2 linked regions of the Macaca mulatta genome follow. The protein of the gene in region 1 purifies or fractionates together with the protein of each later gene. This does not show direct contact. Links are inferred from orthologs where the notes say so. Each region holds a gene or a part of one and is shown in the gene's direction. Other genes may lie near its edges.

Region 1 (4,475 bases):
GAGGGATGGAGGGGTGGGTGGGAAGGGACTTGTCTCACCCCCCACCTCGGTCGCCCCAATATTGACTTTTCTCACCCCCATCTCTGTCGCCCTAATAGCGACTTGTCTCACCCCCCACCTCGGTCGCCCCAATATTGACTTTTCTCACCCCCCACCTCTGTTGCCCCAATAGCCACTTGTCTCACCCCTCATCTGTCGCCCCGATATTGAGTTTTCTCACCCCCTACCTCTATCGCCCCAATATTGAGTTTTCTCACCCCCACCTCGGTCGCCCCAATGTTGCCTTGTCTCACCCCCACCTCGGTCCCCCAATGTTGCCTTGTCTCACCCCCACCTCGGTCCCCCAATGTTGCCTTGTGTCACCCCCACCTCGGTCGCCCCAATGTTGCCTTGTCTCACCCCCACCTCGGTCGCCCCAATGTTGCCTTGTCTCACCCCCACCTCGGTCGCCACAATGTTGCCTTGTCTCACCTTGGCCGCCCCGGAACTTCCCGGGTCCTTCCCACCCGCGTTGCTGAGAGTCCGGGTTCACTCATCACCTCGGGCGGGACCCGATCCTCCGCTCCTGAGGGCCCCCAGTGAAGCAGTGGGACGCGTCTCCCCAAAAAGGTGACCGCCTGCCTGTCCCGAAAGAGAATGGGATCCAAATGGGAAGTTTGGGGGCGGCGAGCCGGCCCCGCAGAGAGAAACTGCACTTCGGAAACGTCTCGGAGACCCCTTTACTTGTGCGGGGTGCAGCCGCCGGAGCACACGCGACAAAGGCAGGGCTTCTGGCCTCTGTCCTGCCCCTGTCGGGGCTTCTGGCCTCTGCCGCCATCTAAGCGGACCCCGGTTGGCTGAGACTCAGAACTTTTTAAAAACAGGGTAAACGCGCCCCCTGCGAGAGAACAAGGGGGCCGGGGAAGAAGAGGGTAGGGCTGATTTACAACTTTTGACCTGGAAGTTGAGTTTCTTAACTCAGTTTTCCCAACCAAATGGCGAACAGGACGTTTATACTGAGACATCATTCATTTTCTGAGATCCAGATTCCAGTGCCTTTGAAGTATTTTTACTTGGGGCGGAGGAGGTCGCTTCCTCCCGCCTAATTTATTAATCTGTTCACATAGATATGTACATTTTTAAAGGCAGAGAGGTGGGTCTCGCCATGTTGCCGCGGCTGGTCTCGAGCTCCCAGGCTTAAGCGATCCTCCCGCCTGGGCCGCCCAAGGCTCTGGGATTACAGACGTGAGCCACAGCGGCCGGCCCGTGTTTCACTCTGATCAAATCTGGGTAATACCCTCGGAATGTTTCAACCCCGTCGGCCGCACCGCTCCGCGCTCATTCCAGCTTTGAAAGCCGGAGGAAGAAATGCGCAGGCTCCAGCCGCGTCCCCGCGGGCCGCGCTCCCGTTTCCTAGCAACGCCCTGTCACGTGCGCCGCCGCCCGGCTTCCGTAGCGGGAGCCTGCCGGAGCCGGCGCGTGCGTGCGTGCGTGTGTGCGCATGCGCAGGCGGGGGCGACCGGCGTGCCCCGCGCGCGCCCCGCCCCCGCGATGACGCCGTGCGTGCGCGCGCCCGGTCCGCGCCCCCGCCGGTTTTTATAGCGGCCGCGGGCGGCTCCGGCGGCGGTTGGCGGCTGCGGGGCCGGCGAGGAGGAGACATCATGGCGGCTACGCTGTTCGTGCTGCTGGGTTTGGCGCTGCTGGGCGCCCACGGAGCCTACGGGGCTGGTGAGGAGCGGGCCGGGGGCGGGGGTGCGGTCCTGCAGGGGCCGGGAATGGAGGCCGCGGCCCAGGCTGCGGTCCGGACCGGAAGCCAACGGGAGCGTGGGGCCTCGGCGAGGGGCCGCCTGGGGTGCGAAAGGCCGGCCCCGGGGGTTTCCCGCGCCAGCCTGGAGCTTGGGGGTGAATTCCCAGGGTTTGAGGGGGGCTGGGGGTCCCTCCCGGCGCTGCCTGCCAGGCTCCCCCGGGCGTCGCACCCTCTGTGTGGGCGTGAAGCCCCTGCTTGGGGGCGGGAGCCTGGGGGTCCTGGCCAGGCCGGTCTCGGTCGGGGGAGGTGGGCGTCCTGCTTTTCGGTGGCCTGGGGTTGGGGGTTCCCCGGCAGAGGTGGAGGCTCTCGCCTGATCTCTGGGCGAGGGCGTCTGCGAAGGCGGCTGGAGGTGGCCCGCCCGCCCGTCCCTCCGGCCAGGAGAAGGGAGACCCAGAGCCTGGGTGAGCGTCCCCTTTGGCCTGGAGTCGGGGCAGGGGCTGGGCTGGTGCCTGCCCGACCTGTCCTGCTGGGACTGGACTCCGCAGGTCGGGGGAGAACGGCCTGAGGGTGGAGCCTGGAGACGGGCCCACCCTGCCTGCGCGTGTTAGGGTCACAGACCCTGCCCGGAGTGTCTGGGGTCCCCGCCAGGCCCCGCGCTGCCGGGGCGATCGTCTTGGCGCTCTCTCCTGGAAAAGGGGCTTTTGTCCTCCAGGCGCACACGGAGGCTCCGAGTGGGTCAGCCTTCCGGATCGGGAAGGGATTACCGTTCTTCGGGGGATTTAGCCCTGGCGTCTTGCCTCGGGCGTGCACCTGCCCCCGGGTGTTCTCCCAGACTCTTAAGCCCTCGCAGGCTCCCTCGAGGCGCCCTGCCTGGAAGAGAAGGCAGAATGTCCCTGGAGTGGCGCCAGCCTTCTCTCTGATTCTGCCTTGCTTCAGGGCACAGAATGTGGTGGTCTCTGAACGCCCCTTCTCCTTTACAGGCAAGGAAGCTGAGCCCTGTGGGGAGTCGAGGTTCCAAGGTCACAATGAGGGGCCTTGGCCACCCCATTCAGCGCAGGAAATAGTGAGAAAGTCGTTTTTAGCAGACTCTGACCGGGCATTAGGTTTCCAGTGCTGTCTTAGGAGGGGCCGTGTGGGGGTGGGCAGACGCGGTTTGGAGAGTGCATTTGGGAAATGGATTGAGGTGTGTTTTTCCGGGAGAAAAGCATGACAGCCTTTCTTGCTGGATAGAAAATTTCTTCCTTTATTGAGACCCCCATTTGGTTCTGGATTAAATATTTATAGTGAGGCTTAATCCCAGCACTTTGGGAGGCTGAGGTGGGTGGATCACCTGAGGTCAGGAGTTCAAGACCAGCCTGGCCAACATAGTGAAACCCCATCTCTACTAAAAACACAAAAATTAGCTGGGCGTGGTGGCGCACGCCTGTAATCCCAGCCACTCGGGAAGCTGAGGCAAGAGAATCGCTTGAACCCAGGAGGTGAAGGTTGCAGTGAGCCGATATTGGGCCACTGCACTCCAGCCTGGGTAACAGAGGGAGACTCTTGTCTTTTTTTAAAAAAAAAAAAAAAAAAAAAAAAAGGCTGGGCGCGGTGTCTCACGCCTGTAATCCCAGCACTTTGGGAGGCTGAGTCAGGCGGATCACGAGGTCAGGAGATCAAGACCATCCTGGCTAATACGGTGAAACCCCGCCTCTACTAAAAATTCAAAAACTTAACTGGGTGTGGTGGCAGGTGCCTGTAGTCCCAGCTTCTAGGGAGGCTGAGGCAGGAGAATGGTGTGAACCTGGGAGGCAGAGCTTGCAGCGAGCCGAGATGGCGCCGCTGCCCTCCAGCCTGGGCGACAGAGCGAGACTCCGTCTCAGACAAAAAAAAATTATAGTGACTGATGCGTTGGGAACAAGGTGTAGAGCTGGAGGGTCTGGGCTCCTGAAGGGTCAAGAGCAAGGGCTTGGAGCCTCTCTCCTGGGCATTGAGCCATAGGGGGCCTTGGGCAGAGGCTGAGGAGGGAGCTCCTTCTTCCAGAGGCTTTGCCAGCTAACTCCTGACCCACGTCTGAGATTTCTCTTCCTGGTAACCGAAGTGGCCCTTTATCGAATGTCTCCTGGGCAAGGACCTGGCTCCAGCACTGGACCAGCTCTGTGGGGGAGACACAAATAAGAGCCCCCGGGCGAGGTGAATGTGTGAGATAAGCCACCGCCTCAGCCCTGTGGAAACAGCCTCAGTGGTGGGAGCCAGCCAGGCTTGACTGGGTTTCAAGCCCAGCACGAGGCTCCCACATTGAGCTAATTTGGACAGCCCAGTGGGTGAAAGACCTTTGGTCCATCCCTGCCGGGTAGCGCGGGTCACGGTTTTGTTCCTCTTGTGCAGGGGACTGAGAAGCGTTTCTCCTCAGCAGAAAGCTTAGCCCGGGGCTTACTGGCCAGAGCTGCATGTGGAGTCCGCAGTGTGGCAGCGCTGCTGTGCAGCCGTGTGTGTGTGTGCGTGCGTGTGTGTGGTGAGAAGTGGGTCTGTGTGTGTGTGTGTGTGTGTGTGGTGAGAAGTGGGTCTGTGTGTGTGTGTGTGTGGTGAGAAGTGGGTCTGTGTGTGTCTGTGTGTGTGTGTGTGGTGAGAAGTGGGTCTGTGTGTGTGTGTGGTGAGAAGTGGGTCTGTGTGTGTGTGTGTGTGGTGAGAAGTGGGTCGTGTGTGTGTGTGTGTGATGAGAAGTGGGTCTGTGTGTGTGTGTGTGTGTGTGTGTGGTGAGAAGTGGGTC
Region 2 (4,425 bases), on another chromosome or scaffold:
GCTAGAATCAGAATCCAGGCTCTGCAAAAATTACCAGTTAGACAACCTGTATCAGGTTTCATGAACCTCTAGTACTTGTTTTCACATTTGCAATCATGGGATTTATGACAGTGTCTATTTCATGAAGTTAAAAATTAAATTAGCAAATACATGAAAAGCATGTGGTATATGGCAAGTTCTCAATACTTTTAATTATCATTCCTACTGTTTAGGTGAGCTTAAAATTTTGAGCAGTCGTACCAAAATAAAAATAGCTTTTAAAATATCACGCTGTAAATTTAAGAAATGTGTGTTGTCCTGAAATCTAATGATTTTCCTTAGTGCATGTGCAAAGGGTGTCACCTTCTTCCGGGCAAGCTCTTCAGAGTATGAGGCACTGTGTTCCTACTGACACGCCATGCGACTTTAATGGGCTCTTTTATTTTCCTTTTCCCCCATCAAGATCAAGAATGGAGAGTAAAAGGTTGGCGCACTTGTTTAAAAAAAAAAAAAAGGCCGGGCGCGGTGGCTCACGACTGTGAGCACTTTGGTCGGTGGAGATGGGCGGATCACAAGGTCAGGAGATCGAGACCATCCTGGCTAACACGGCGGAAACCCTATCTCTACTGAAAATACAAAAAATTAGCCGGGCGTGGTGGTGCGCGCCTGTAGTCTCAGTTACTCGGAGGCTGAGGCAGGAGAATGGCGTAAACTCGGGAGGCGGAGCTTGCAGTGAGCCGAGATCGCGCCACTGCACTCCAGCCTGGGCGACAGAGCGAGACTCAAAAAAAAAAAAAAAAAAAAAAAAAAAGTTGGAAAAGGACAACTCGCCAAGGGCTATGTCTCTGGCGAGGGACACACAAGGATGAAGCTGGTGAATTATCCAACAGGCCCGAGGCCCCAGGGCGAAATGACACTATCGCACCAAGGTCAGGCAGGTCTTGGGGGTGGCATGGGGAAAGGGGACTTCCCAGAGCTCAAGAAAACGTGGAAAAGTGGGCTACTTCGAGAGTCCAAGGTCCTGTGCGCACTGCCCGCGTTAAATCGGAAAGCCTTGGTGCTTCCTACAAGAAAGTACGACGGTCCCCACACTTGGGGACGAGTTGGAAGGTCTGATGAATAACTCGACAGAGCCCGGTCAAGGGGTGACTTCCGATGGAGAAATGTGTTCTGCATCCGCTACTGGAACCAGGTGGGACGAAGTTACGGGTGCTTGACATGCAAGAACCTTTAGCCTCAAAGCAGAGGCCAATCCAGCACAGGCCGCACAGGAGAACCACGTTCCTCAGATCTGCTCTCCACGTGGGCTCCTGGGACCCCGCACTCACCGAAGTCGTAAAGGTTCTGGAGCAGAGCGTCAAGAAGTGTCGGAGAACTGGGAAGTGTGGAGGACCCCGGGCCTTGCTCCTGCGACATTGTGGGATCAACCGAGGAATCAAACCTCATTCTGCCGCGCGGCGTCCCCGCTTCCGGGTTCCGCGACTGCGCGCATGCGCCATAGGGCCCTGCGCGGCTTCCGTCCTGGCTGAGATGGCGGCGCCCGGGGTCCTGTGGTGCGGCTGCAGAGGGTGCCGCCGCCCTAGGCGAAGTAGGGCCGTCCTGCGCGAAAGAACCGCCCCCAGCAGCAGCACCACCACTGCTTAGCAAAGAATCCTAGACCCCGCCCGGGACGGCAGCCGCACCATGGAGTCTCCCAGTTCATCTAACTCTTATTTCTCCGTTGGTCCAACCAGTCCCAGCGCTGTCGTGCTCCTCTACTCGGTAGGCGCCCAGGGAAAAGAGGCCCAGAGCGGAGCTGCGCGAGATAGTACCCCTTTCTCCCACTCCCTATTCCTCCGGCCCAAGACCCTTGCCCAAAAGAGCTGGCCCCCTAGGCTCCCGAGGAGGGGTTAGTTGGTTGGGTTGGTTTCCAGGACAACAGTGTATCGTTGTGTGTCTGTGTGTGCATGCTTTTGGAAGTTTCTACCGATTATGGTTCCTTTGGTTCCTTTCCACTTGTTCCTTCTCTTTCTTTCTATCAGGCCCTGGGCCTTCAGAAAGCTCCTGGACACGGGAATGAGGGATGAGAATTGGAGTCTCCCCATCTCTAGCGAGGGCGTGTCCAGCTACCTTTTGGGTAAACCTGAGAAACCTGCGGGTCTGACCCGCCCTGAGATAGCCTGTGGCTCCGCACCCCGTTCTTTGCTGCTGTTATATTCCTGGGAGTAAAGCACTTGGCTTGTATGTGGGGATAGAGTTTTAAACACTTTAATGTAGGAAAATTTAGAACTTCTAGACATTTTTATTGCCTGTTTTTGTCTTCCAGTCATTATTGTACCTTTTTCACAAATCATTTTGGAGGACCGCCAGCGCCACCCAGCTTCTCTCCCGCTTGCCTTTTTTCCCCCCAACCCCCTCTTCCTCTCTTGGTTTTAACCGGTCTTTTTTGCTGGCAGATGTTGGTCACCCACGATTTTCATGAAGAAATTATGAGATGGAAGTTTTATAGCCTTTTTTATAGCCTTCAGGATTGCACAGTCCTGGGGCAACTGATTTGGTTTTTGTTTGTTTTTTGTTGTTTTTAACCACTAAATTGGTCTTTAGCTACTTTAGGAGGAAATAAAATAATTCATTTTAAAAGCATATTAGCATGTCCTGGTGATTAGTGTCCGGTTTGGGCTTAAATGTAGTGTTCATTTGTGCAGAAAGGTCAAAACAGGGTTAACACGACAGAGCAAGATAAACATCCCAGTTTCGAAAGAGAATATGGCTTCCTTCAAATTGAGACACCAATATTCTTTGGAACATGGAGAAACTTCTGTTCCCTCTCTATCAAGACCTTTCGGTTTCTGATAGCTAACTGCCTATAAGGCTTATTATTTAAATCTCTCTCTACATTGATCTTCTCCACAGTTCTGTGGTGGATATCAACTTTGTTTTCTGACTGCTACTCCAGAGCAGGCATGAAGAGAAGAGGGTTGCTATGCAGATCCAGCTTTTAACATGTAGCTTTTTAAGCTCTCAACTGGTTTGTGAATTGGCTGGAATTTTCATTTTGTACGTTAAAGGAAGGAGTTGGTTTTTTTTTTTTTTTTTTTTTACTTCCCCCTTCACCAACGATTCTTTAATAAGACTTGAGTCCACTTTTTCATGTGAAAAACTATGGCAGTTGGATCTGAGCATTCTGTAGTTCTGATGCTGGACAGCAACCCTCTAGTTCTTGCTACTGTTTTGTGACTGGATAACCTTTACTTCCATGGTAACCTTACTTTCTCTTAGTACTTCAGGCTGTTTTTATTTCCCCAGCTACACTGTTACTGTGTAATACTCTGATCTAAAAGTAGCATTTTAGAAACATACAAGATACTGCTGATTGCAGCAAACATTAGGAATATATACAGTATCCTACTCATTATTCTCAGTTTCTGAGATATAGAAGTTACAGATCCAGGCTCTGCCTTTAAGGGCACAAGAAGTCATAAAAGTAAACAAGTAATTACAGTTAAGTAGGATAAGGGCAATGATTGCAGCATGCATAGCGTGTTGTGGGAGTGACAAGAAGGGGCACCTGACCAGTTTGGGTACTTGGAGAAGGTTTCTAAGAAAAGGTGACATCTGAGCTGATCTTCCTTTTTTTTTTTTTTTTTTTTTTGTGAGACCCTCTTGCTCTGTTGCCAGGCTGGAGAACAGTGGCTTGATCCTGGTTCACTGCAACCTTCGTCTCCAGGGCTCAAGCAATTCTCCTGCCTTAGCCTCCCGAGTAGCTGGGATTTTAGGCACATGCCACCACGCCCTGCTAATGTTTGTATTTTTAGTAAAGACAAGGACCCACTGTGTCGGCCAGGCTGGGCTCGAACTCCTGACCTCCAAGTGATCTACTTACTTCCCAAAGTGCTGGAATTACAGGCATGAGCCACTGTGCCTGGCCTGAGCTGAGTTTTTGAGCTGTGAATGGCAGATGAGGGAGAGGAAAACTGTCCTAGACATTGATGTAAGAAAACTATTCCCTTGCATATTTGGGGTTAGAATTAGTTAGTTAGGTTTGGGTGGAAGAAAGGAGACGTGAGAAACAAAGTAAGGAAGTAGGCAGATGATATTTCCTAAAGAAATTTTATGTGTCGTGTTTACATATCCTTAGGGATAAAATCATAACTTTATGGGTGATCTTAATCTTATGTATGTGTGTGTGTGTGTGCGTGTGTGTGTATACACATATATGTATACGTAAAAATAAATATGTGGGTTTTTTTTTTTTTTTTGAGATGGTGTCTCACTCTGTCACCCAGGCTGGAGTGTAATGGCACGATCTTGGCTCACTGCAGCCTTCACCTCCAGGGTTCAAGAGATTATCCTGCCTCAGCATCCCAAGTAGCTGGGATTACAGCTGCCTGCCACCACACCCGGCTAATTTTTGTATTTTTAGTAAAGAAGGGGTTTCACCATGTTGGCCAGGCTGGTCTCGCACTC

Evidence for each region.
Region 2: the proteins of BSG (region 1) and GNPAT purify together in Homo sapiens (affinity purification with mass spectrometry; 3 studies listed by BioGRID and IntAct, counting the BioPlex papers as one, with this or other methods). This does not show direct contact. The link is inferred for Macaca mulatta from reciprocal best matches to the Homo sapiens genes BSG and GNPAT.

Annotation. Positions count from the first base shown.
Region 1 is NC_133424.1:1,211,952-1,216,426, forward strand, and holds the start of BSG (basigin), read left to right. Parts: upstream 1-1,601; 5' UTR 1,602-1,640; coding exon 1,641-1,707; intron 1,708-4,475.
Region 2 is NC_133406.1:17,786,835-17,791,259, reverse strand, and holds the start of GNPAT (dihydroxyacetone phosphate acyltransferase), read left to right. Parts: upstream 1-1,557; 5' UTR 1,558-1,662; coding exon 1,663-1,740; intron 1,741-4,425. Other genes in the region: C1H1orf131 (40S small subunit processome assembly factor 1), read right to left, coding at 1,308-1,425. UniProt on the Homo sapiens protein: Dihydroxyacetonephosphate acyltransferase catalyzing the first step in the biosynthesis of plasmalogens, a subset of phospholipids that differ from other glycerolipids by having an alkyl chain attached through a vinyl ether linkage at the sn-1 position of the glycerol backbone, and which unique physical properties have an impact on various aspects of cell signaling and membrane biology.